Linked DNA regions of Xenopus tropicalis. The protein of the gene in region 1 interacts with the protein of each later gene in a biochemical or structural test. Links are inferred from orthologs where the notes say so. Each region holds a gene or a part of one and is shown in the gene's direction. Other genes may lie near its edges. The genes, in order: fgfr1, ncam1, fgf4, fgf6, anos1 and fgf8.

Region 1 (4,133 bases):
ATCTATATATATAATTAAGGGCCCTCTACACTTCTCTGCCCTTCCGCAGCTGGCATACACATTTACTTGGTAGAGTAAATATATAAGGACCCTTTAGCAGAATGCTCGAGACCAAGGATAAGGGGTCTTTCTGTATTTTGGATCTCTCTCTCTATCTATCTATATATATAATTAAGGGCCCTCTACACTTCTCTGCAATTCCGCAGCTGGCATACACATTTACTTGGTAGAGTAAATATATAAGGACCCTTTAGCAGAATGCTCGAGACCAAGGATAAGGGGTCTTTCTGTAATTTGGATCTCTCTCTCTATCTATCTATATATATAATTAAAGGCCCTCTACACTTCTCTGCAATTCCGCAGCTTGCATACACATTTACTTGGTAGAGTAAATATATAAGGACCCTTTATCAGAATGCTCGAGACCTGGATAAGGGGTCTTTCTGTAATTTGGATCTCTCTCTCTATCTATATTTATATATCATTAAGGGCCCTCTACACTTCTCTGCCCTTCCGCAGCTGGCATACACATTTACTTGGTAGAGTAAATATATAAGGACCCTTTAGCAGAATGCTCGAGACCTGGATAAGGGGTCTTTCTGTAATTTGGATCTCTCTCTCTCTCTCTATCTATATATATTTATATATCATTAAGGGCCCTCTACACTTCTCTGCCCTTCCGCAGCTGGCATACACATTTACTAGAGTGGAGTTATAGTTGCACTACAGCTGTAAGCATCCACAACTAAAAACCCAGCCCTGCTGCTATTTTGTTGCATGCCTCCCCCATCTGTGCATCTGTCTGCTGTCTAAACACAAATAACTGCCCTCCTATTCACATGTACAGGGAAGGGGGGGGGGGCAAACAGAGAATTAACATAAGCCCTAGCGCTGCCCATTACATCTCATTGACTTCCTCTGGTTGCAGATGCCCAGATTCAGCCACAGTAGCAGCAGTAGTTTAGGATATAAAAGACTACAAGCCCCAGGGTGCACCGGGAGAAATCCGAGCGGGTGGGCGGGGCTTGTGCAAATGAAGCTCTGCTAGGGAGGGGCTGCAAATTCTTGCATGGGGGGATGGGAAGCGGAGTGTATTGTTAAGTCTCAATAAGAACTGACTCACTTCTCCGTGCCCAAGGAATCCCGGAGACTTGCCGTGCTCGCTGCTCATCCTTCCTGCACATTTTCTTTTTTCTGATACTATTTGATAGAAATTGGCCGGTTCCTCCATTCCTGCTCTCAGTTGCACTGGGAAAGCAACTTTTCATGTGGGATGTGAATCCTGCGCTGCGACTGCTGGAATTGTGCGATCCCACAACTTTTCCCTCTTGCTGGAATTCTCTCAAGGTGTCTTCAAAGCTGCACATTTCTCTCTTTCCTTCCCAGAGGGACACATGCTTCAAATTACTGCTGCTTTTAACTAAAAAGACTTTATTTTTTAAAGTTTTTCTTTTTTTATTTTAGCTCTTTTCTCTACAAACAGTGGATTCCTGGGAGAAATTTTAATTCACTAAAGTTACTGAAGACAATTTTTTTTTTAATTTAAAGATCACCCCCCCCCCCCAACTTTTTTATTATTTTAGTTATTTTTTTAATTTTATTTTTCCTACTAATATAAGGAATATACGTTGGACGAGTGGAGATAAGAAGAAATTGGAAAAACATTTGGGAACAGGTAAAAAAAAGCAAATTTTATGCCCTTTTCCTAATTGCCGTTGCCTGTTTAGCAGCTCGGGGGGGGGGTATATGTTCTTATTAGTTTCTAATTAGTATTCTTATTAATTTTATTAAGTGCCAACATATTCCGTAGCGCGGTACAACATAATGTTGTATACATTAATCATACACATTAATACAATTTAAAGGGCCTTTGCTCTTTAGAGCTTGCAATCTATACTTGTATTGCACTTTATGAAACTGATGACCCAAAAACTTGGATTTCCAGGGTAAATTTTTCTTTATAATGTAATTATAGCCATTTCAAACCTATTGACGTGACCCCCCCATTACAGTAAGATAGATATTTTGATAGTTAAAGGACCCCCTTTCCATTGCCAAATCAGGGTTGAGGCCAAAGGGGTATTTAAATATGGCCACCGTTATTTATCTGGGATGGCCAGTGGCCACGCTGTACTTTGTTTTGGAGGTATACATTTAACAAGCACCGTTCCATGAGTGCCGCTAAAGGGGTGTTGTGTGAGCGAGTGCTTTTGCTCGCTGTGTCAGTGCAACATATAATAAACCAGGAATTTCTGTGTAATTGAACGGCTTCAGCTGTCAGTGTATGCTGGGAGTTGTAGTACAACAACATCTGGGTAGTTGCAGGTAAAATGTTGGTGGACAGTTTACGTCTTTTTGGATTAGAGTCTCCCCCAGAAGTGGTTTTAAGGTTTTAGAATTCTCCAAAACAAGTTGAGTTTGTTTCCAGGATCCGTGTTGAGTGTTTAAGTCATTGACACCCCCTTCTGCTCTTTATCCACTGACTTGTAAAGGTGGCCATACACACTACAGTTACCATCTTTCCCACGACCATTGGCCATAGGAAAGATTGTTTGTCTACTGACATTAAGAGCTGAATTGTCAGATAAGCAGGTGAAAACAAAGGAATTCTTTACTCTTATCTGACGGTTCAGCGTTAATGTTACAATGTTCAAAGACGCACGGTCAAAATTTTCTATCCTGTCCGATCGACGAGGCGACCAATATCCAACGCTTTTATGGATATCGGTTGCCTTGACCGCAATACACACACACAGATTATCGTACTTCATTTCGTATGATAAAATCAGTGTGTGTATGGCCACCTTAAGTCATGTGTAATGTGTCATCCTATGATGCCACTGAGTCCTCTGACCTGCCTTCTCCGGTTGGCATATTCAGCCTGGCACACAGGACAATGTGGAACAATGAGGTTATTTGTTTCCAGGACCATTAAACTGAATGGTTTTCTTTTTATTTCCTTTGTAAATGTGCTTCTTGTTTGTTTAATGTATGGCTGGCCAAATATGGCTTTGGATAATTATAGTCAAATTAAGATAGGAGGTTGCCCTTCCTGCACTGATAATCTGTGCAAATATTTTTTGTTTGCCTACTGAGTTTAGGAAATGTAGCCCAGAAAGGGGGGCAGAAAGTTCAGAGTAGATGCCAAGCTTGTGGCTTTGCTTTGGTTCTGTCCAGATGCCCTCACTTGCTCACTGAAGGGTGCAGATGCCCTCACTTGCTCACTGAAGGGTGCAGATGCCCTCACTTGTTTGCTTGTAGGGTGCAGACGCCCTCACTTGCTCGCTGTAGGGTGCAGGCGCCCTCACTTGCTCGCTGTAGGGTGCAGGCGCCCTCACTTGCTCGCTGTAGGGTGCAGGCGCCCTCACTTGCTCGCTGTAGGGTGCAGGCGCCCTCACTTGCTCGCTGTAGGGTGCAGACGCCCTCACTTGCTCGCTGTAGGGTGCAGACGCCCTCACTTGCTCGCTGTAGGGTGCAGACGCCCTCACTTGCTCGCTGTAGGGTGCAGACGCCCTCACTTGCTCGCTGTAGGGTGCAGACGCCCTCACTTGCTTGCTGTAGGGGAGAGTAAGGAACATACTAAAAGTACAAGTGTTTGCTGCAGGGCTGAAGAAACATGAGGATAGGTTTCTAGAGCGGGGTACAGGGAGTTTCAATGTTAGTATGGTTTTAGATCCCGGAAAAAAACTGGAGCACAGGGAGAGAATTGACTCACCGTGGATAGTCTTGGTAGGTTGTGAACCCAGTACCCCATTGCTTTGAGGCAGTAATACCTCCATGTTGGTATCCTATCATATTAATGTTAAAAGATATAGAACCTACTTATTGCCCTGCTGATCTCGTTCGTGTCACAGTGAGTACTTCTAGACTCCCTGAATACTGACAGTTAATATCAAGGATCGTGACTCCCAAGTACAAAAACTACAAATAACAGCAGTGTCTGTACTGGAGTGGAGCTGAAGCGCCGCAGGTTGCCTTTATTTGCCCTGTTTTTTAGGATGTGCTGTCATTTTTGGATGCTTCGGCACAGGAAAACAAATAGCCTTGGCCGGGGTCATCAGGATCGGACATAGGAATCTGACCCAGGCTTCTAAGTGCATTGTCTCATCCCACTTAGTTCCCCATACAGATCC
Region 2 (3,500 bases), on another chromosome or scaffold:
TTTAAGTGAATTTCCTGACAGTATAAAGCATGTATGAAGCAGTATTAAAAACATGAACTACAGTGCATATTATATTTCATCTACTTATGTTGTTCTAGTTTATTTATCTTTGTGTGTTTACAGTAACATAATATACGTCTGATCCCATGTAAATATGAAACCTTAAAACATTATAATCAGTTAAACATTTTGTACCATTTCTGAAACCTTCAGGTTGCTCCGCCATATTCCCCTCTCAGCAATCTGTATCTCTTTATGGAGCTCTAGTTCTGAGTCAGTTATTTAGAAACACATGTGTAATACATTATCTAGGCAAAGGAAGCACCTACCAGTGATGTATTAGAGATAACTGTGCATTAAAAAAACAACTCCAACACAAGCCTATATTTTAGCATAAGAGATTTCTTGGGGGGGGGGATACTAATGAATATCTTGATTATTTTGACATGGCACATAATCTTTAAATTTACGTAAATTGAGATACTTTCTTATTTCTATGCAATGAAACTTATTTTAGATTTTGTTTTCGTGATAGATCCCCTTTCCTCTTGATGCTAAAACATTCTGTTTAAGAGCACTTTGCAAACATGGCGTTATTGGTTAAAGATAATTCCCCATAGCGTGATATAGCACCTACATCGTTGGCAGGGTTAAATATCCCATTATGTTAATATTAAGACTACACTTCTGAGAATCTTTTCCTCCAAATACTCTTTTATATTACCCTGTAGCTACTGAGCTAAAATCAATAAGCATCCCTGGTGGCCTAAGGCTCTTAGGAGGATGTTAGGAATTGTTAGTTCAGGGCTTATAATGGAGGACAGGTATGGAACCAGTTATTCATTGAATGCTTGGCACCTGGAGTTTTCCGGGAAGGGGATCTTTCTGTAATTTGTATCCCTATACGATATTAAAAAAGCATGCCATAGTAAAAAATAATTAAAATATTAATTATACCCAGGAGGATTGTTTAACCTCCAATAAGGATTAATTATATCTTAGTTGGGATCAAGTACAAGGTACTGTTTTATTATTACAGAGAAAAAGAAAATAATTTCTAAAAAATTGAATTAACTAAAATGGAGTTTATGGGAGATAGCCTTCCCAAAATTCAGAACTTTCTGGATAATGGGTTTCAAGAAAACAGATCCCATACCTGTACTAGGCACATCATTCACTTATGTTAAAGTTATTAAAAGCGTACTTAGCAAAAACTTGTCTGGATCTGTATTTCACTTCACCAGGCTCCCTTTTACATGTCACTCAGGAAGTCTCTAATATGAAATGTTATTTAGAAAGAAGTCAGAAAAGAAGGATTTACAGCAAATTCTTGTCAGTATATGGCATATGATATTATTTTGGCAAGCCTGATATCCTCAGATCATAAACTGGAACTGCTCCAAAAGTGTATTTAAAGAGAATGTAAAACTGACCCTTTTGTGCCCCATTCCTCTCCAGTGAGCATCATCATCTAAAATATTTAGATTACTCTGATTTCAGTTATTGCATTAATCACACGTCAAATGGCAAATATAGAGCATCCTTCTGCAATAATTGTATGGAGCCAGCTAGGGCAGTCCAATGTGAATGAGCTAGACAGAATATTTATTAGAGGATTCATTTGTATCAAATGGGACACTGGTCCTAGAGAATGTGCAAAATGTTTTAATGTGCCTCTTTTGCTGATGAAGTACAGCTCAAATTATATGGTAACTTGATAACAAGCTGAAGAATACAGGGAGATATAGCCTAGAGGAGCAATACTGCTGTGGAAGGTTTATGTACCCTTTAACATGCAGTAATCTGCACTATAAACAGTGTTAATAGATGTTGATGTTGGTAATCAGATCTGTATCTCAGCTTAACTGACTCATACAAGAATTAGCAGCCCATTTCTGTGTCACAGACGTTTAATATCTAGAACATATGACTATTAAGCATTAAAGTGGACCTGTCACCCAGGCATAAAAAGCTGTATAATAAAAGTCCTTTTCAAATTAAACATGAAACCAAACTAATATTTTTTATTAACACATCCATACCCATTATAAAAGCATTTAAAAATCCCAGCTGTCAATCATATATTGCCTGACCCGCCTCTATGCCTAAGGCATAGAGGTGGCGCAGACAGTTACTTTCACTTTGAATTCAGAACTTCTTAGATGTTGCTGCTCTCCTCATATTCCCCCTCCCTCCTCACCATCTAATTTTGTAACCAGTGCATGGACATGGGTATCAGACCCCCCCCATACTGGCACAGAAACAAGATTTTGGCAAGATACAAAGCTTGCCTTAATAACAGTGTCCACAAAATGGCGACTGTCTTCTTGCTGCAATTGTGAATTCCAAGGCTAAAGATAATAAGATTAAAATAAATTTTATAGTGTAAGTGAAGGTTATTTTACTTGACAAACACAATAGAAAACAATTTGGAATTATTTCCCACATTAAATGTGGCACTGATATGCTGAATTATAAAATTGAGTCTTGGAAAAAAAGATGGAATCTTTTCATCTTTTGTTTAACATATGAACCATATATATATAGTATATAGTACAGAAGTGCATTGTGTATTTCTGGTCCCTTCTACATGAAGAACATACACTATAGTATTGTGGAATGAGGGCCTTAGAGCAGTATTCTTAGTGCCACTTTCAGTGGGGTAGCAGATGGGTATTTTTGTGTTTATATAAGCTGCCCCTTTGTACTGTGTAGGTGCATCATTGCACAAGACTGTAGCATTCAGTAAGCCCATGTGTTATTGATCTACTCTCATATTTGTTCTTACCTTCTCTTTCTCTTGTTTGCTTATAGGAAGACCCAAGTAGAAGAAAATTCTAAGCCAGAGGAAACAGATGTCAAGAGCACCCCAGCAGAAGTCAAAACAGTCCCCAATGAAGCCACTCAAACAAATGTGAATGAGAGCAAAGCATGATTTGTCCTTAGAGTTTGGGGGTGGGCGTTATTGGGGAATGGTCAGTGGATACTAAAAATTATGTCTGAAGAGCCTCATGCTAGCCATTTAAAGAATGAGGCACACACACTTCATCATTCCTCTCAATCTTGGCCTTTGTTGTTATTATTTTATTTTTTTATGAAAACCATTTTGTTTTTGTGAGATTGTAGAAAGGGTTCATCTATTGTGCTAATGCATTTTTTTAAAAAGAAAGGGGTAAGTTAGATCAATAAAGCCCCATGCAGCGCCATCAGAACGGCAACTATGCACCACTGCATTCTTTAGCAAATATTTACCATCAAGAAGCCAGGTCAAAAACATTACACTGAACCTGTGTTAGACCATACGCTAAATACACAGAAGAAGAGTTTGTATTTAAACCATCATCTTCAAGTGCATTCACTTAGTAGGTAAATAAACTGAAGAGGAAAAAAAAGTTATTAATTGTTGTATTTGTCCTGAAAGTTTGGGTGATGGGGTATATGACTAGCCTGCAATACATTTCTCTACTTGTAAATGTACCTGTTTAAGAGCAGAGGCTCCA
Region 3 (4,076 bases), on another chromosome or scaffold:
TCTGTAAAAATGCTGGTCAAGAAATGAATACATAAATATGAGAGAGGAGTATTTTACTGGCCAAAAACCAAAATATCCCACCTGTTTTTAGAAGGTATTTCACAATTACCTTAGATCTCTTTTAAGAGTAACTGGCGTGGCACAAGGTAAATAGGTGTAGGACATATTATAAAACTGGGAGAGGAGTTTGGGGTGGGGGGAATAAAAAGTGGAGGAAGAAGTATCAAAGCAGTAAAAAGCAGGGGCTGCAGCACCGGGCATTGTGGATTGCACAGCTAGAAATCTGAATGCTGTGTTTGCTAAGGCTGGGGGCAGCCCCCAGGTTTTCACACCTATACACAGGCCAGTAGCTATCCCCAGGGCAGGCACGCTCGTTCCAGCTCTCTGTGGAAGTGGCTACTTGTGGATTCAGTCTGAGGTTTGCAGCTTAACAATAACCTGATATTGTTGTTGTTGTTGTTAAAACACACTTTTTGGAAAGTTTCTCCTTCCTGAACGAGTTTCCCGAGGTCTTCCAATGTAACCCTTTCATAACAGCCCCATTGTGCATTTTAGTTATATATATATATTACAAAACAAAGTAGTCATTTAATTAGTTTCTATTCATTTAAGATGCAATACTGACTACAGTTTTCAAAACAACTGCACATATTTTCTTGGATAAAAACTTTTGGACAGTTCTCCTTCTTAGTTTCACTTTGCTGTTTGAGAAACGTTTATTTCTCTAGATAAATATCTCAGAGGATAGTGTTTCTTTTTATAAAGTGAATCTGTGCAGGGCAAAGCGTGCAGGGTGTGCATGGAGGGGGGCAACCTGCAAGGAGGGCTATCTGTAGCCGGCTGAAAAGCCTGGCATTTGTGCGAGGGTCGTGCAATAGTGATCCCCAAACACTCCTCTTCATTCTTTCGGTGTACACAGTGTGGTGTCTGGGCTGACAGCTTGGAGATGAGCAGGAGCTGGTGATGTAATAGGTAGGAAGCAGATGGATATAAATATCGTGGACAGGGGTAAAGTGCTATGGCTGAGCTGTTGGGGAAGATCAACACTTCAGACAAGTCCACGGCAAGTTAACGACAAGTTGAGATCAAGTTCGAATAAACTTTCCTTGAGTCAAGCCCCTTTTAGAGAAGTCTCCATGCAAGCTAAGAGAGCAAACCACACCTCCTTTGGGAGCTAAGCAGTTGCTTACTTTGATCTAAGTATAAGTGGAGTTGGAGTTGGAGGTATTTTTAGAGCAATTGACTCCTTAAACCACGTGTGCCCACGTTGATCAGGATGACTGTTCCATCGGCCCTGGTGCCAATCCTGCTGCTGGGAATGGCTGCCGTTGTGGTGCAGGGCTTGCCGCTCTCTTCTTCCCTGAGGAATGACACCCTGGAACGGCGATGGGAGACCCTCTTTTCCAGGTCCATGGCTAGGATCCCAGGGGAAAAAAGGGATATGAGCCGGGAAAGTGACTATTTGCTGGGCATCAAGAGGCTGCGACGTCTCTACTGCAACGTGGGCATCGGGTTTCATATCCAGGTTTTACCGGACGGAAGGATAAATGGCATGCACAATGAAAATCGATACAGTAAGTATTGATTTTTTTTCTTTCCCCCTGTTACATTATTTTGCTCAAACATAGGTCATATTAATGGAGAAATAGTGACATTGCCTGCAACAGGAAGGTCAGCTTACCCCGGCAATTTCCTAACGAGCCGCTCATTTTAATATGCCATTCATTTTCATGGAATGATCAATCTATAGCTCGGAAATCTTAGCCGAATAGTATATGTAATTTCACACGTGGCTGCCTTGGCGTGTCCTTTCATTAATAACCGGCATATTTTTTAACCTTTTCTCTGCTGCCCATTGTTGCCCGAGTGAGTGATCTTCTTCTGACGCCCGAAATTCATCTGTAAAAAAAAAACAAATCAAGCTGCGTTTAATGTGGAAAATAAAGTTGTGACAGGGAAGCGACCCGTCGTGGGGAGCCAGTTATGCTTGGCAAGCCAAGGGCATGTGTCGCCGCTGCTGGATTAGTGTCAGGGAAGCTGCAGTCCTTTCTTGTCTGTACAATAATGCTTCTATTTTAAAGAGAGGGATTTCAGGGCTACGATATTCATTTGGATAACTCGGCGGGAACTAATGACAGATTAAGGAGCAGTGATTAACACCCTGGGATTTATACTGCTAGAAAAAGAGATTAAATGTCCTATACGGTTTTTACCCTAAATTTCACTATTTAGGATGAGTTTGTCCAAGCTCTGAAATAATTTAACATAAATATTATCCATAAACCTGTTCTCCAGAAATATCCCAAATACAGGAATGCAATTTCTTATGTTTTACTTGTTCCTGATAGTAACTAAGCTGTGTAAATCCACATTGGTGGCTAATAATCCTGTTGGGGTTTTGAAATGTTTTATAGATATGCATTGGTGTAAGGTGATTTTTGTGTTTTGAGAGGCTTTTTAAGCACATTTTCCACATAGATTCCTTTATAGTATCCCATGGCCAGTTCAGTGTATAATACCCCAGAACACACAGCAGGATAAATACAGTGCCAATTCCATGTATAATACCCCAGAACACACAGCAGGATAAATACAGTGCCAATTCCATGTATAATACCCCAGAACCCACAGCAGGATAAATACAGTGCCAATTCCATGTATAATACCCCAGAACACACAGCAGGATAAATACAGTGCCAATTCCATGTATAATACCCCAGATCACACAGCAGGATAAATACAGTGCCAATTCCATGTATAATACCCCAGAACACACAGCAGGATAAATACAGTGCCAATTCCATGTATAATACCCCAGATCACACAGCAGGATAAATACAGTGCCAATTCCATGTATAATACCCCAGAACCCACAGTAGGATAAATACAGTGCCAATTCCATGTATAATACCCCAGATCACACAGCAGGATAAATACAGTGCCAATTCCATGTATAATACCCCAGAACCCACAGCAGGATAAATACAGTGCCAATTCCATGTATAATACCCCAGAACAAACAGTAGGATAAATACAGTGCCAATTCCATGTATAATACCCCAGAACACACAGCAGGATAAATACAGTGCCAATTCCATGTATAATACCCCAGAACACACAGCAGGATAAATACAGTGCCAATTCCATGTATAATACCCCAGAACCCACAGCAGGATAAATACAGTGCCAATTCCATGTATAATACCCCAGAACACACAGCAGGATAAATACAGTGCCAATTCCATGTATAATACCCCAGAACACACGCCAGGATAAATACAGTGCCAATTCCATGTATAATACCCCAGAACACATGGCAGGATAAATACAGTGCCAATTCCATGTTTAATACCCCAGAACACACAGCAGGATAAATACAGTGCCAGTTCCATGTATAATACCCCAGAACCCGCAGCAGGATAAATACAGTGCCAATTCTATGTATAATACCCCAGAACACACAGCAGGATAAATACAGTGCCAATTCCATGTATAATACCCCAGAACACACGGCAGGATAAATACAGTGCCAATTCCATGTATAATACCCCAGAACCCGCAGCAGGATAAATACAGTGCCAATTCTATGTATAATACCCCAGAACACACAGCAGGATAAATACAGTGCCAATTCCATGTATAATACCCCAGAACACACGGCAGGATAAATACAGTGCCAATTCCATATATAATACCCCAGAACCCACAGTAGGATAAATACAGTGCCAATTCTATGTATAATACCCCAGAACACACAGTAGGATAAATACAGTGCCAATTCTATGTATAATACCCCAAAACACACAGCAGGATAAATACAGTGCCAATTCCATGTATAATACCCCAGAACACACAGCAGGATAAATACAGTGCTAATTCCATGTATAATACCCCAGAACCCACAGTAGGATAAATACAGTGCCAATTCCATATATAATACCCCAGAACACACAGCAGGATAAATACAGTGCCAATTCCATGTTTAATACCCCAGAACACACAGCAGGATAAATACAGTGCCAGTTCCATATATAATACCCCAGAACCCAAAGCAGGATAAATACAGTGCCAATTAT
Region 4 (3,500 bases), about 120 Mb from region 1:
ACCCAATAGGGCTGTTCTGCCCCCAATAAGGGGTAATTATATCTTAGTTGGGATCAAGTACAGGTACTGTTTTATTATTACAGAGAAAAGGGAATCATTTAACCATGAAATAAACCCAATAGGGCTGTTCTGCCCCCAATAAGGGGTAATTATATCTTAGTTGGGATCAAGTACAGGTACTGTTTTATTATTACAGAGAAAAAGGAAATCAATCTTAAAACTGTGAATTATTTGATTAAAATGGAGTCTATGGGAGACGGGCTTTCCATAATTCGGAGCTTTCTGGATAATGGGTTTCCGGATAAGGGATCCCATACCTGTAGAATATGCAAACTATGGTCTTGCAGGAAAGTATATTGTCCCTTGTATTTTTCATTGGTTTGTAGTCATTTCTGTATGTATATTTTGATGTAAATATGCCAATAACATAAATAACATTAAGCTTTTTCATTTGCTTAGGTCTGTTAGAAATTTCAACTGTAGATCGAGGGATTATTAGCTTGTTTGGTGTGAAAAGTGACCTGTTTGTGGCTATGAACAGCAAGGGGAGAATGTATGCTTCGGTAAGTAAATAAACCCCTTTACCTGTAAAGGCGAGAACCGTTTTTTGCTGGGGCCGGGCATTTCATTAGATTTATTTATTTGACAGGGTTCAAACAAGAGTTTTAACAACAAAATTAATTATATTGTATTAATGATACATTAATACATTAAATATTGATATTTTCTCAGTAAGCATTTTCTACTTTGATACCCTTTGATAACATTATTCCATAATTCTAGTAGCTCTACAGAAATGTATGCCATTTGTTTTTATCCTTCTCTTTCCACTCCCTCCTACTCCAACAAGGTTTTAGATAAATTTGATATGATCGTCACTGGGCATTAAACACCTAAACAGCACTTGATCTGCCCTCCTGGAGTCTGATTACAGTGTAATATCGGCAAGCCAAAGTAGCATAAATATTGGGTAACGTCAATATGACAAACATACAGTAGCTCTAGCTCATAGGGATGATCCTTTTGCATCTGGAATTATAAGTCTAATACGTTTGAGGGAAGGTTTGCTTACCCTTTACCCCATGTAGAATTGATTTCTATCCCCTGTTAATGTGTTGGCTTATACTGGGATAAAACTCAGAATGTCCATGAACATTTAGGTATGTCATGCAACCAAAAATAAAATAGTTAGACCTGGCAACATGGTTAGAGAGATCCTTATGCCCAAGTCATACACTCAAACAATGGGTAGACAGACATTGCAGCTTAGGGTGCTTTTAATTATTAGCTCACCACGAGTTAAACTGAAAAGATAATATAGTAATAGAATATATTTTATATTTACAAAGTATAGTCTGGTGTTTGATACTGATGTCCCAATACAGTCATCCCACCATAAGCTGCCTTCCCATTGTTACAGGGGCTATCCCTAACCATGCTATCCCTAACTGCTATGTTGGTATTATTATTATTATTAACATTTATTTATAAAGCGCCAACATATTCCGCAGCACTGTACAATAAGGTATGCATAGATCTTTATAGTGAGTGTGTTTTACAGGTAGATTTGGTTTGTCCAGGTAGTCTCTCTTTAGAGAGAAGTGGTCACTTATGGTTCTGTCTGGGCCTTAAGCTGGCCACACATGTGTAGATTTTTAAAAGATCTTATTGTAGGATCAAGCTTTTCTTGAAACGATCATTTAAAAATACAATTTGTCCATCAACGAAAAGACCATTTCAAGACATAGGGGCACATTTACTAACCCACGAACGGGTCGAAATGAGTCCGATTGCGTTTTTTTCGTAATGATCGGTATTTTGCGATTTTTTTCGTATTTTTTGCGATTTTTTCTGCGTCTTTACGAATTTTTCGTTACCAATACGATTTTTGCGTAAAAACGCAAGTTTTTCGTAGCCATTACGAAAGTTGCGTAAAATCTGGCGATTTTTCGTAGCGTTAAAACTTGCGCAAAAAGTTGCGCTTTTTTCGTAGCGTTAAAACTTACGCGAAACCTCGCACCTTTTAAGTTTTAACGCTACGAAAAAGGCGCAACTTTTCGCGTAAGTTTTAACGCTACGGAAAAATCGGGCGATTTTACGCAACTTTCGTAATGGCTACGAAAAACTCGCGTTTTTACGCAAAAATCGTATTGGTAACGAAAAATTCGTAAAGACGCCGAAAAAATCGCAAAACATACGAAAAAGTCGCAAAATGTTCGTTTTCAAGTCGGAACTTTTCCAATTCGGGTCGGATTCGTGGGTTAGTAAATCAGCCCCATATTGTCTAGTTGAAAGTAGGAAAAATGCCTGCTTGGGCCTGCAAACTATTGGACAATGGACAAATATGTTCTGTAAAAGACAAAAAATTATTATTATTACTATTATTATTATTACTACTACTACAGGTATAGGACCCATTATCCAGAATGCATGGGACCAAGGGCATTCCGGATAAGGGATCTTTCCGTAATTTGGATCTCCACACCTTAAGTCTACTAAAAAATCAATAAAACATTAATTAAACCCAATAGGAATGTTTTGCATCCAATAAGGATTATTTCTATCTTAGTTGGGATCAATTACAAGGTACTGTTTTATTTCTACATAGAAAAAGGAAATCAGTTTTAAAATTCTGAATTATTTGATTAAAATGGAGTCTATGGGAGACAGGCATTCCGTAATTCGGAGCTTTCTGGATAAGGGGTCCAATACCTGTACTACTAATACTACTACTACTACTAATAATAATAATAGTAATAATAATAATTTCAGAATGGTTTTGTCGGCTCACACTGAAATTGTCCATTAAGTAAAGAAAGATCAATACATGTATGGCCAGCTTTGAAGTATAAACAGAGTTCATAATCCAATCCCTGAACAGGCCAGTAATCTGTGAATCCACATCCAGATGTATTTAAGAGTGCAATAAATATACATCCCAACATGTTAAGGAATCAACTTGCTTGATCTCTAATGGGCAATCTGTACAGTATCCTGCTGTTCATTTAATATAGGAGAGTAAAAATGTATATCAATATCCCTATTAGATTTAAATCTGAAATGCATTATTTTAGGATTATTATGGTAAAACCCTTTTTTATGTGTAAACTACAAGTGTTCCACCTACGTTGAAGAGAGCTGGGACATGCAATGGAAATGTTTCATATTCCAATAAAAGCAGAGGTAAACCTACATTAAAACTGACTCCTTAGTTCTTTAAAGCATCCCAGACTTTATTATAGATACAAGTAGACTTATATTACCTCCTATAAGTCTATGTATATTATTTTTGTTGGATACTGTTGCATTAGACAAATCAGGGCATCAGGTTTGAATCTGTATTATGTGATTTGTTGATATTTTCTTTTAAGTAGCTTGACAATCAGGTACAACTTAGCCCATATATGTGCATGGAACCCAGTTTGTTTTTCCATTTATTGAGCTATTGGATAACATTGCTGGGGTCTTGGGTTTAATTCCAACCTGGTCAATGCAAAGTC
Region 5 (3,500 bases), on another chromosome or scaffold:
CAATGAGGGGACTGTGTCCGTTAGGATCACATGGGATCTCCCAGAGGAGCCGGATATCCCTGTGCACCATTATAAAGTCTTCTGGAGTTGGACAGCTAACAGGAAATCTGTCGTCCCAGCTAAAAAGAAAAGGAGAAAGACAACAGAAGGGGTAAAGGAAAATGGGTGTTTGTGAGATGAATAATATGAAATAAGTCTGCTTTGCTCCATGTAGAGGCTCACTTCATATCTTTTAACACAGTGATGTCCAATTTATTACAAGTTGTGAGCCGATTAATCCCATACCAAGCGTTCAAGGGCCAGATTATATTTAAATTATGGTGCCATAGAATGAAGTCTATAGAATCAGTCTCCTTTCTGGTGGATTTTATACTATAAATACAATGTAGCTATAATATCATTCATGGCTGGTGTCACTATAGGTGACTTTCTATTGAGTGTTGTCATTTAGACATACAGTATATACCTCCCATAGCCCTTTAACACAGAACCATAGCACAAAGGTGACAAATATACTTCACATTTATTTCAATTTCATAATAAATCCTAAAATAGAAGAAGGACCTTAATGGGCACCTATCACCTAAAAATAGTTTCCTCTGACAGAGGTTCAGACTAACAGAGCCCACACAATTTTTAGGTGATAGGTGCCCTTTAACATTAAGTAACCATTAAATGCTGGCTATAGAGTACAGGTATGGGACCCGTTATACAGAATGCTCTGGACCTGGGGCTTTCCGGATAAGGGATCTTTACGTAATTTGAATCTCCATACCCTAAGTCTACTAAAACATCATTTAAACCCAATAGGATTGTTTTGCCTCCAATAAGGATTAATTATATCTTAGTTGGGATCAAGTACAAGGTACTGTTTTATTATTACACAGAAAAAGGAAATCATTTTTAAAAATTAGAATTATTTGCTTATAATGGAGTCTATGGGAGATGGCTTTTCTGTAATTTGGAACTTCTGGATAACGGGTTTCCAGATAAGGGATCCTATACCTGTATAATAAAGCCTTGGAGAGCACAGTCTTCTTCAACATAATTGATTAAATATACGAATAAATATTTATAATTACAGTGTAAATGATAATAATAGTAGTAAAAATCCAATCCATGAAGGTAGTATATGTGTATGTGTGGGATTTTGTTGGTCAGGTTACTTCCTGACCCTCTGTACATGGTAGCTATGTGCTATGTGCTTTTTTAAAGATCGGCTTGGATCTGGAGTAATGAATTCTCTAGTGGGAAGTTTTATTACGTGCTTACCATAGAATTTTTTTCTTCTAGAGGCAGACGAGTGGCTTAATACATTCCCTTATATGTGTGGGTGCACATTTTAGTTAGTCATAGTGATGTAATGCCACAAGAAGGTGAACTCTTTGCTACTACATTTGTTATACACTAATAGGCTTTAGAAAATCAAAAGAATAGCGATGGAAATCCCTAAATCCACGCATTGTAAAGATCGGGACAATTGGGACTAAAGGGAAAGCTTACCTTAAAAAAACAAAACAGACTTTCAGTAATTACTAAAGAAATGTGTCATCCCTGCCGTACTTCTTTTGATGTCTGCTGCATCCGTCTTGTGATTTTTTTTTTTTTTTTTTTTTAAAGAAAATCAGTTTACATAGCAAGTACAGCCACCTTCAGTTCCGCTGTCCTAGAATTTGTTTATGACAGTTGTTACCCCTCATTAAATATATTATGATGCCATCATTAGTCAAAGGCAACATCAAAGAGGAAATGATATCCACTGATTCTTCCGCACAAGTTCCAAGTAATACAAACAGGGAGAGGAGTAGGCTCACTTTATGCTTTTGTTCATTAGTGCTTGCCTTAAAGCAAGCCTAGCAGTGCAGTCACTGGATTTCTGCGTCTCTTTGAACTGAAACATTCTTTTCTCACTGTATCTTTATTTTTGTGGCTGATTGTAGTCTCAGAACTCTGTGGCTTTGGACGGTCTCCAAGCAAATAGCAACTACATGGTTGAGCTGCAAGCCATCACCTATTGGGGACAAGTGCGCCTGAAAAGTGGCAAGGTCTCACTCTACTTTTCCACCAGCCCCCCAAGCACAAGCTGTAAGTACTGATAATCTGGCATCATGGATCATATCTGATTTTAATGACGAGGGATAAATATTTATTTGCATTAGTGTACCTGATGCCTTATTGATTTGTTTCTTTGCACTGCATATCTCAGTAGACCCAATGGAAGTAATTGTATAAAAGGTGCTAACTTGCTAATGGTCTAGTAACCCATAATGACCAATCAACAGGTAGCATGTATTGGTTTTTAGACATCTAATTGGTTGTTGTGGGATACTAGACCTAGGCAAATTTGCTTACTCTTAAGGTGTCCAAAACTTGTTAAATAATCACATTTCTATCTATTTTCTATCTGTTTAAGTGTTTTATCCATATAAACGGACAAGAGAGCTTATATGCTTATATAGCCCTAATGACTTACCTCTTACCTTAGGCCAGCACAGCTCCTCAGGCCTTCTCAAAAGTGCAGCAGCCTGGGCTTTATTTTGGTAGAGCAGGCTGACTGAAAAACAGGGGCAAGATACCTACTACCCACCCTGCAGACAACTAAACCACTACCTACTGGGTTTAAAACACTTGTTAATTGTAATATATGTATATAGCACTTAACAATGTTTTCTTAAAGGACAAGGCAAGTCTGAGTCACTGGGGCAGTTGCTGTTCTGCAGTAAGGGCTCCCACAATCTTCCTTCAACTTCTCTGTCATGCCCTGCATCTTATTGGCACAGTATAGAATGTTATGCTGTGTCTTAAGGAGGAACATAGGGCTGTCACCTGGCAAGTATTTCACCAGCCTAGCTGGTCAGTGTTACAAATGTAGTGGCCCCCAAAACCTTCTTCCAGCTCAGGCATATACTCCATGCTCCATAAATGTCTGCTATACAGCCCCCAAGTTGCCTCCATCCCCCTTTGCATCATTGCCCCTTCCTTTATGGGATTGTTCTGCCCAAGGGCCTGCCCCTCTCAGAGTGACTGGAATTTTTAAACTGCAGAAAGGTGGCAACATAAGTGGTACATGGGGGAAGATGGCAGCAGCCTACTCTGCACAATAACACCCTAGCTGGAGGGCTATAAAAGAGGAGGAGGAGTGTTGGCCTGGGTTAGGAGGCAAGCAAGTAGAGACACTGGGGGGTGCCCAACAAACTGGCAGGGCCAGAACTAGGGGTAGGCAGAAGAGGCATGGCAACGATGGGGTTCCAGGCATATATGTCTGCTGCCTGCCTTCCCCCTACTCTGGGCCCTTATCCCTCACTGCCCCCTCAACACTAGTACCTGTCCCCTGCCATGTACCCGCATGCTTTCCCCCACTGCTAGGCCTGGCACCGCCAACTGGCACCAACCTTCAGTGTCTCAGGCTTTTCCTTATCTTTTAAGAAAAGATTGTTAAACTCCATATACAAATATTAAGTGTTCTAAACTGTTCAGCAAAGGCCACTGGTGCAGAAATT
Region 6 (3,281 bases), on another chromosome or scaffold:
ATCAAAAGGCAGACAAGAGGTGGGAAAGGAAAAAGAGTAACAAAGAGCAGATAAAAGAATCAAAAAGAAGAAAAGCTGAAAGGGAAAAAGGGGGTGTTTCGAATTCCATATATCTTTTTTTTTAACAAATAGGCGAATTGCCTTGCTATTATGTTCAATTACATGGTACAAGTATTTGGAATGTTAAGACACAGAGTTCAGGCTGCCCCATCGCTAAGCCCTGAAATCTTCATATTAGTCATGCCTACGATTTAACACCCAGAAACTTCCCTTTTAAACTTCACTTTCAAGCCTTTATTAGTTCCAAAGTTGTCTGCTTCAATAAGAATTTCACTCCTTGTAGGGCGAGGGGATCCAGGCATATTGTGAGGCCACCAGACACCTGCACATACCTGCTTTAGAATTCATTTTGCCTTTACCCACTTTCATCCGCCAGCAATTACAGATTCCACAGCCAAAGAACCCTCCTTTTCAATTACATTTTCATCTCTTGGTTTTTTTTTACCATCCAATATCATTTTCCCTGCGGTCCAATCATGAGCTAATGCTGCAGGTGTGGCAGGCATATTGTACTTTTACATCTCATGTGTTGACTATAAAGCGGTCAGATAGCTAATGCAGCAAGGGAGCATTTAGTGGTAAAAGTGTCCCAAGCCAAAGAAAACGTGCACCGTAAAAGGGACAATACAGCATCATAGAATGACTGACTCTTTAATAATTAAAAATAATCTATTTAAAAAAAAAACAGTTGTTACTGTGCAAGATCATTTATATACTGATAACAACTCAGGGACAAAAGTAATAGAAACAGAACTCACGTCACAGAAATAAATAAGAGCTTGCAATCTACTGGTATTCTCACAGATTACTCTAGGGGGCAGCAATGAGAGAATGCTATTATGGCCAAATAAACTACAACTTAACACCTAATACTTGGCCGCTTGTGTAATAGAGCATGCCTTTGTTAATTTTAAGGCTGCTTACTTTGGCAGTTAAGCTTGGCTCTATTTGTTCTGTAAGCCTATTGTGCAGGTCTATAGGTAAGTAGGGAATCAGCGTCTCATTTGCAATGAGTCGGAACTCAACAAATAAAACATAATAATAATTGTGATCATTAAAGGAGACACAAATACTGGCAAAATGCTATGTGAAAGTCCTGATGTGAGAGTCCTAATCAGTGTTCTGCTGCATTTATTTACTAAGGAGTCAATGAAATCGGATTTAGCATATGGGTCATTTCTACTTTTATTAACTTCAACAAGGAACCCGATCTCCCTAGTGCTACTATAAATGCTTATGGCTAGTTTATTGTGGTAGATATAAATATTTCTGTTATTCAGAATGCCCGTGTTGGTGTTGGCATCTCTACTTCTTCACTTCACCTGCTTGGCATTTGGTCATAGCACTGCTACTGCCTTAAAATAACCCATCAGCTAATCAGGTTTAGTTAGAGCTTTATCTTCCTTACCAGATGATGTTTCAAACATTTATGAACCAATAAATACCCAACAGTAGCTGTCTAGATTTTTCTCCAAATGTCACGGCCATGGCTGCCAATACTAAACTGCTTTCGGATAGGATCAATGTGTAATTGTATTGCTCATTTTATAATGTAGTAGTAACCTTATTTTCTTCTTGTCTTGCAGACTAGTGGGAGGGGCAAAGACTGCGTCTTCTCGGAAATTGTCCTTGAGAACAACTACACAGCTCTGCAAAATGTCAAGTACGAAGGCTGGTACATGGCTTTCACGAGAAGAGGCCGCCCTAGGAAAGGCTCCAAGACAAGGCAACATCAAAGGGAAGTCCACTTCATGAAGAGGTTGCCGAAGGGACACCACACCACAGAACCTCATAAACGTTTTGAGTTTATTAATTACCCTTTTAATAGAAGGAGTAAAAGAACTCGATACTCAAGTTCTCGGTAGGACACGGTTTCTCACTACGTTCCATAGACTTCAGCAAACAGACTACTCTATTCTAATATAAAATAAGAATAAAAAAGAAATCATGAACTGGCTGTTTTATATATATAAATATACATATATATATTTTTTTGTTTTTACAAAAGATGATCTATTTTTTTATTCCTATGAACTTTTTTTTTTTTTTTTTTAAAGAAAAGCGGATGAAATGTACGGACTTACAAAAAAATGTGCTCTTCATATAGATTTTAGTTGTTTTTTTTTAATAACTAGCAAACAAATGTTGTAGGTGAAGGCGGACCTGGGACCAAAAGTGCTACTTACAGACAAAAACACTTAACCAAAAGATAAATAAGGAACCGGTACTGGAAAACGGAAGAAGAACCTCGAGCAGGGTTCTTTTTTATTTGTTCAATTCTCTAAACTCCTTTTGCGGAAGAGTTGGGGTTTTTATTATAAATGCTTTTGATTATTTTTAAGAGCTGCTTTTTCATCGATTCAGTTTCCTTAATGGAAACGTAGAATGACCTGGTTGAAACAGGTTTCCGTGATGAGCAAGAATATTATGTTGTTGTTTTTTTTCTGCCAACAAGGACAAATCATCTTTGACATAAAAAAAAAAAGACCTCAAGACGTGCAACTGCATGACGATGAAATGAAATGCATCCCAGTGGTAGGAAACAGTTGTAAGAAATAGTGATGAACAGTAATAATATTGTTATTATTTTTAAAAAAAACACTGTACAAATGTCAGTTGTCTGGCAAGACCTTTGTCCTTTTTTTCAAGGATATGTGTACATATTAATATTAATGATGGAAATATTTATTTAAATGTGTATTAAAATTTGTACTAGTATTATGAAGGTGTTTGTTTCCTTTTTGTCCTTTCCTTGACGATAGGAGTACAAAATCCCCCTAAAACAGGTCTAGGCCTTCTTAAGAGGGGGCCATAGTGATAACTGCTAATTATGGTTGCACATTGTAGAATTTGGTAAGCTTCATTTTCTTTGGAATATATATATATATATATATATATATATATATATATATATATATGTGTGTGTGTGTGTGTGTGTATACAGGTAGCTAGAGAAAGAGAAGATATAGATTAGATAGATAGATAGATATATAGATAGTTTGAACTCAAATAAGTTTAGCTATATGGGTATATTGATGATTAATCTCAAAGTAAGAGAGATACTGTTCTATAAAAACATGGACAAAATTCTCTATAGTCTAACAACCAATAGTGTAACAACCAATAGTAACCAAGGAGCAGTCACTTTGCAGTTAGATGTCATAATATGAAAGCATCTGATTGGTTCCTATGAGTTACTTTAGTGGTGCAAAGTTTGACCA

The links.
Region 2: the proteins of fgfr1 (region 1) and ncam1 form a complex in vitro, tested with the Homo sapiens proteins (2 studies listed by BioGRID and IntAct). The link is inferred for Xenopus tropicalis from reciprocal best matches to the Homo sapiens genes FGFR1 and NCAM1.
Region 3: the proteins of fgfr1 (region 1) and fgf4 form a complex in vitro, tested with the Homo sapiens proteins (2 studies listed by BioGRID and IntAct, with this or other methods). The link is inferred for Xenopus tropicalis from reciprocal best matches to the Homo sapiens genes FGFR1 and FGF4.
Region 4: the proteins of fgfr1 (region 1) and fgf6 interact in a biophysical measurement, tested with the Homo sapiens proteins (2 studies listed by BioGRID and IntAct, with this or other methods). The link is inferred for Xenopus tropicalis from reciprocal best matches to the Homo sapiens genes FGFR1 and FGF6.
Region 5: the proteins of fgfr1 (region 1) and anos1 form a complex in vitro, tested with the Homo sapiens proteins (3 studies listed by BioGRID and IntAct, with this or other methods). The link is inferred for Xenopus tropicalis from reciprocal best matches to the Homo sapiens genes FGFR1 and ANOS1.
Region 6: the proteins of fgfr1 (region 1) and fgf8 interact in a biophysical measurement, tested with the Homo sapiens proteins (2 studies listed by BioGRID and IntAct, with this or other methods). The link is inferred for Xenopus tropicalis from reciprocal best matches to the Homo sapiens genes FGFR1 and FGF8.

Annotation. Positions count from the first base shown.
Region 1 is NC_030679.2:130,941,367-130,945,499, forward strand, and holds the start of fgfr1 (fibroblast growth factor receptor 1 precursor), read left to right. Parts: upstream 1-1,333; 5' UTR 1,334-1,675; intron 1,676-4,133. UniProt on the Homo sapiens protein: Tyrosine-protein kinase that acts as a cell-surface receptor for fibroblast growth factors and plays an essential role in the regulation of embryonic development, cell proliferation, differentiation and migration.
Region 2 is NC_030683.2:86,597,093-86,600,592, reverse strand, and holds part of ncam1 (neural cell adhesion molecule 1), read left to right. Parts: intron 1-2,814; coding exon 2,815-2,935; 3' UTR 2,936-3,500.
Region 3 is NC_030680.2:12,804,609-12,808,684, forward strand, and holds the start of fgf4 (fibroblast growth factor 4 precursor), read left to right. Parts: upstream 1-1,276; coding exon 1,277-1,574; intron 1,575-4,076. UniProt on the Homo sapiens protein: Plays an important role in the regulation of embryonic development, cell proliferation, and cell differentiation. Required for normal limb and cardiac valve development during embryogenesis.
Region 4 is NC_030679.2:11,182,397-11,185,896, forward strand, and holds part of fgf6 (fibroblast growth factor 6 precursor), read left to right. Parts: intron 1-459; coding exon 460-563; intron 564-3,500. UniProt on the Homo sapiens protein: Plays an important role in the regulation of cell proliferation, cell differentiation, angiogenesis and myogenesis, and is required for normal muscle regeneration.
Region 5 is NC_030678.2:36,380,915-36,384,414, forward strand, and holds part of anos1 (anosmin-1 precursor), read left to right. Parts: coding exon 1-151; intron 152-1,940; coding exon 1,941-2,085; intron 2,086-3,500. UniProt on the Homo sapiens protein: Has a dual branch-promoting and guidance activity, which may play an important role in the patterning of mitral and tufted cell collaterals to the olfactory cortex. Chemoattractant for fetal olfactory epithelial cells.
Region 6 is NC_030683.2:31,011,694-31,014,974, reverse strand, and holds the end of fgf8 (fibroblast growth factor 8 precursor), read left to right. Parts: intron 1-1,646; coding exon 1,647-1,925; 3' UTR 1,926-2,781; downstream 2,782-3,281. UniProt on the Homo sapiens protein: Plays an important role in the regulation of embryonic development, cell proliferation, cell differentiation and cell migration. Required for normal brain, eye, ear and limb development during embryogenesis.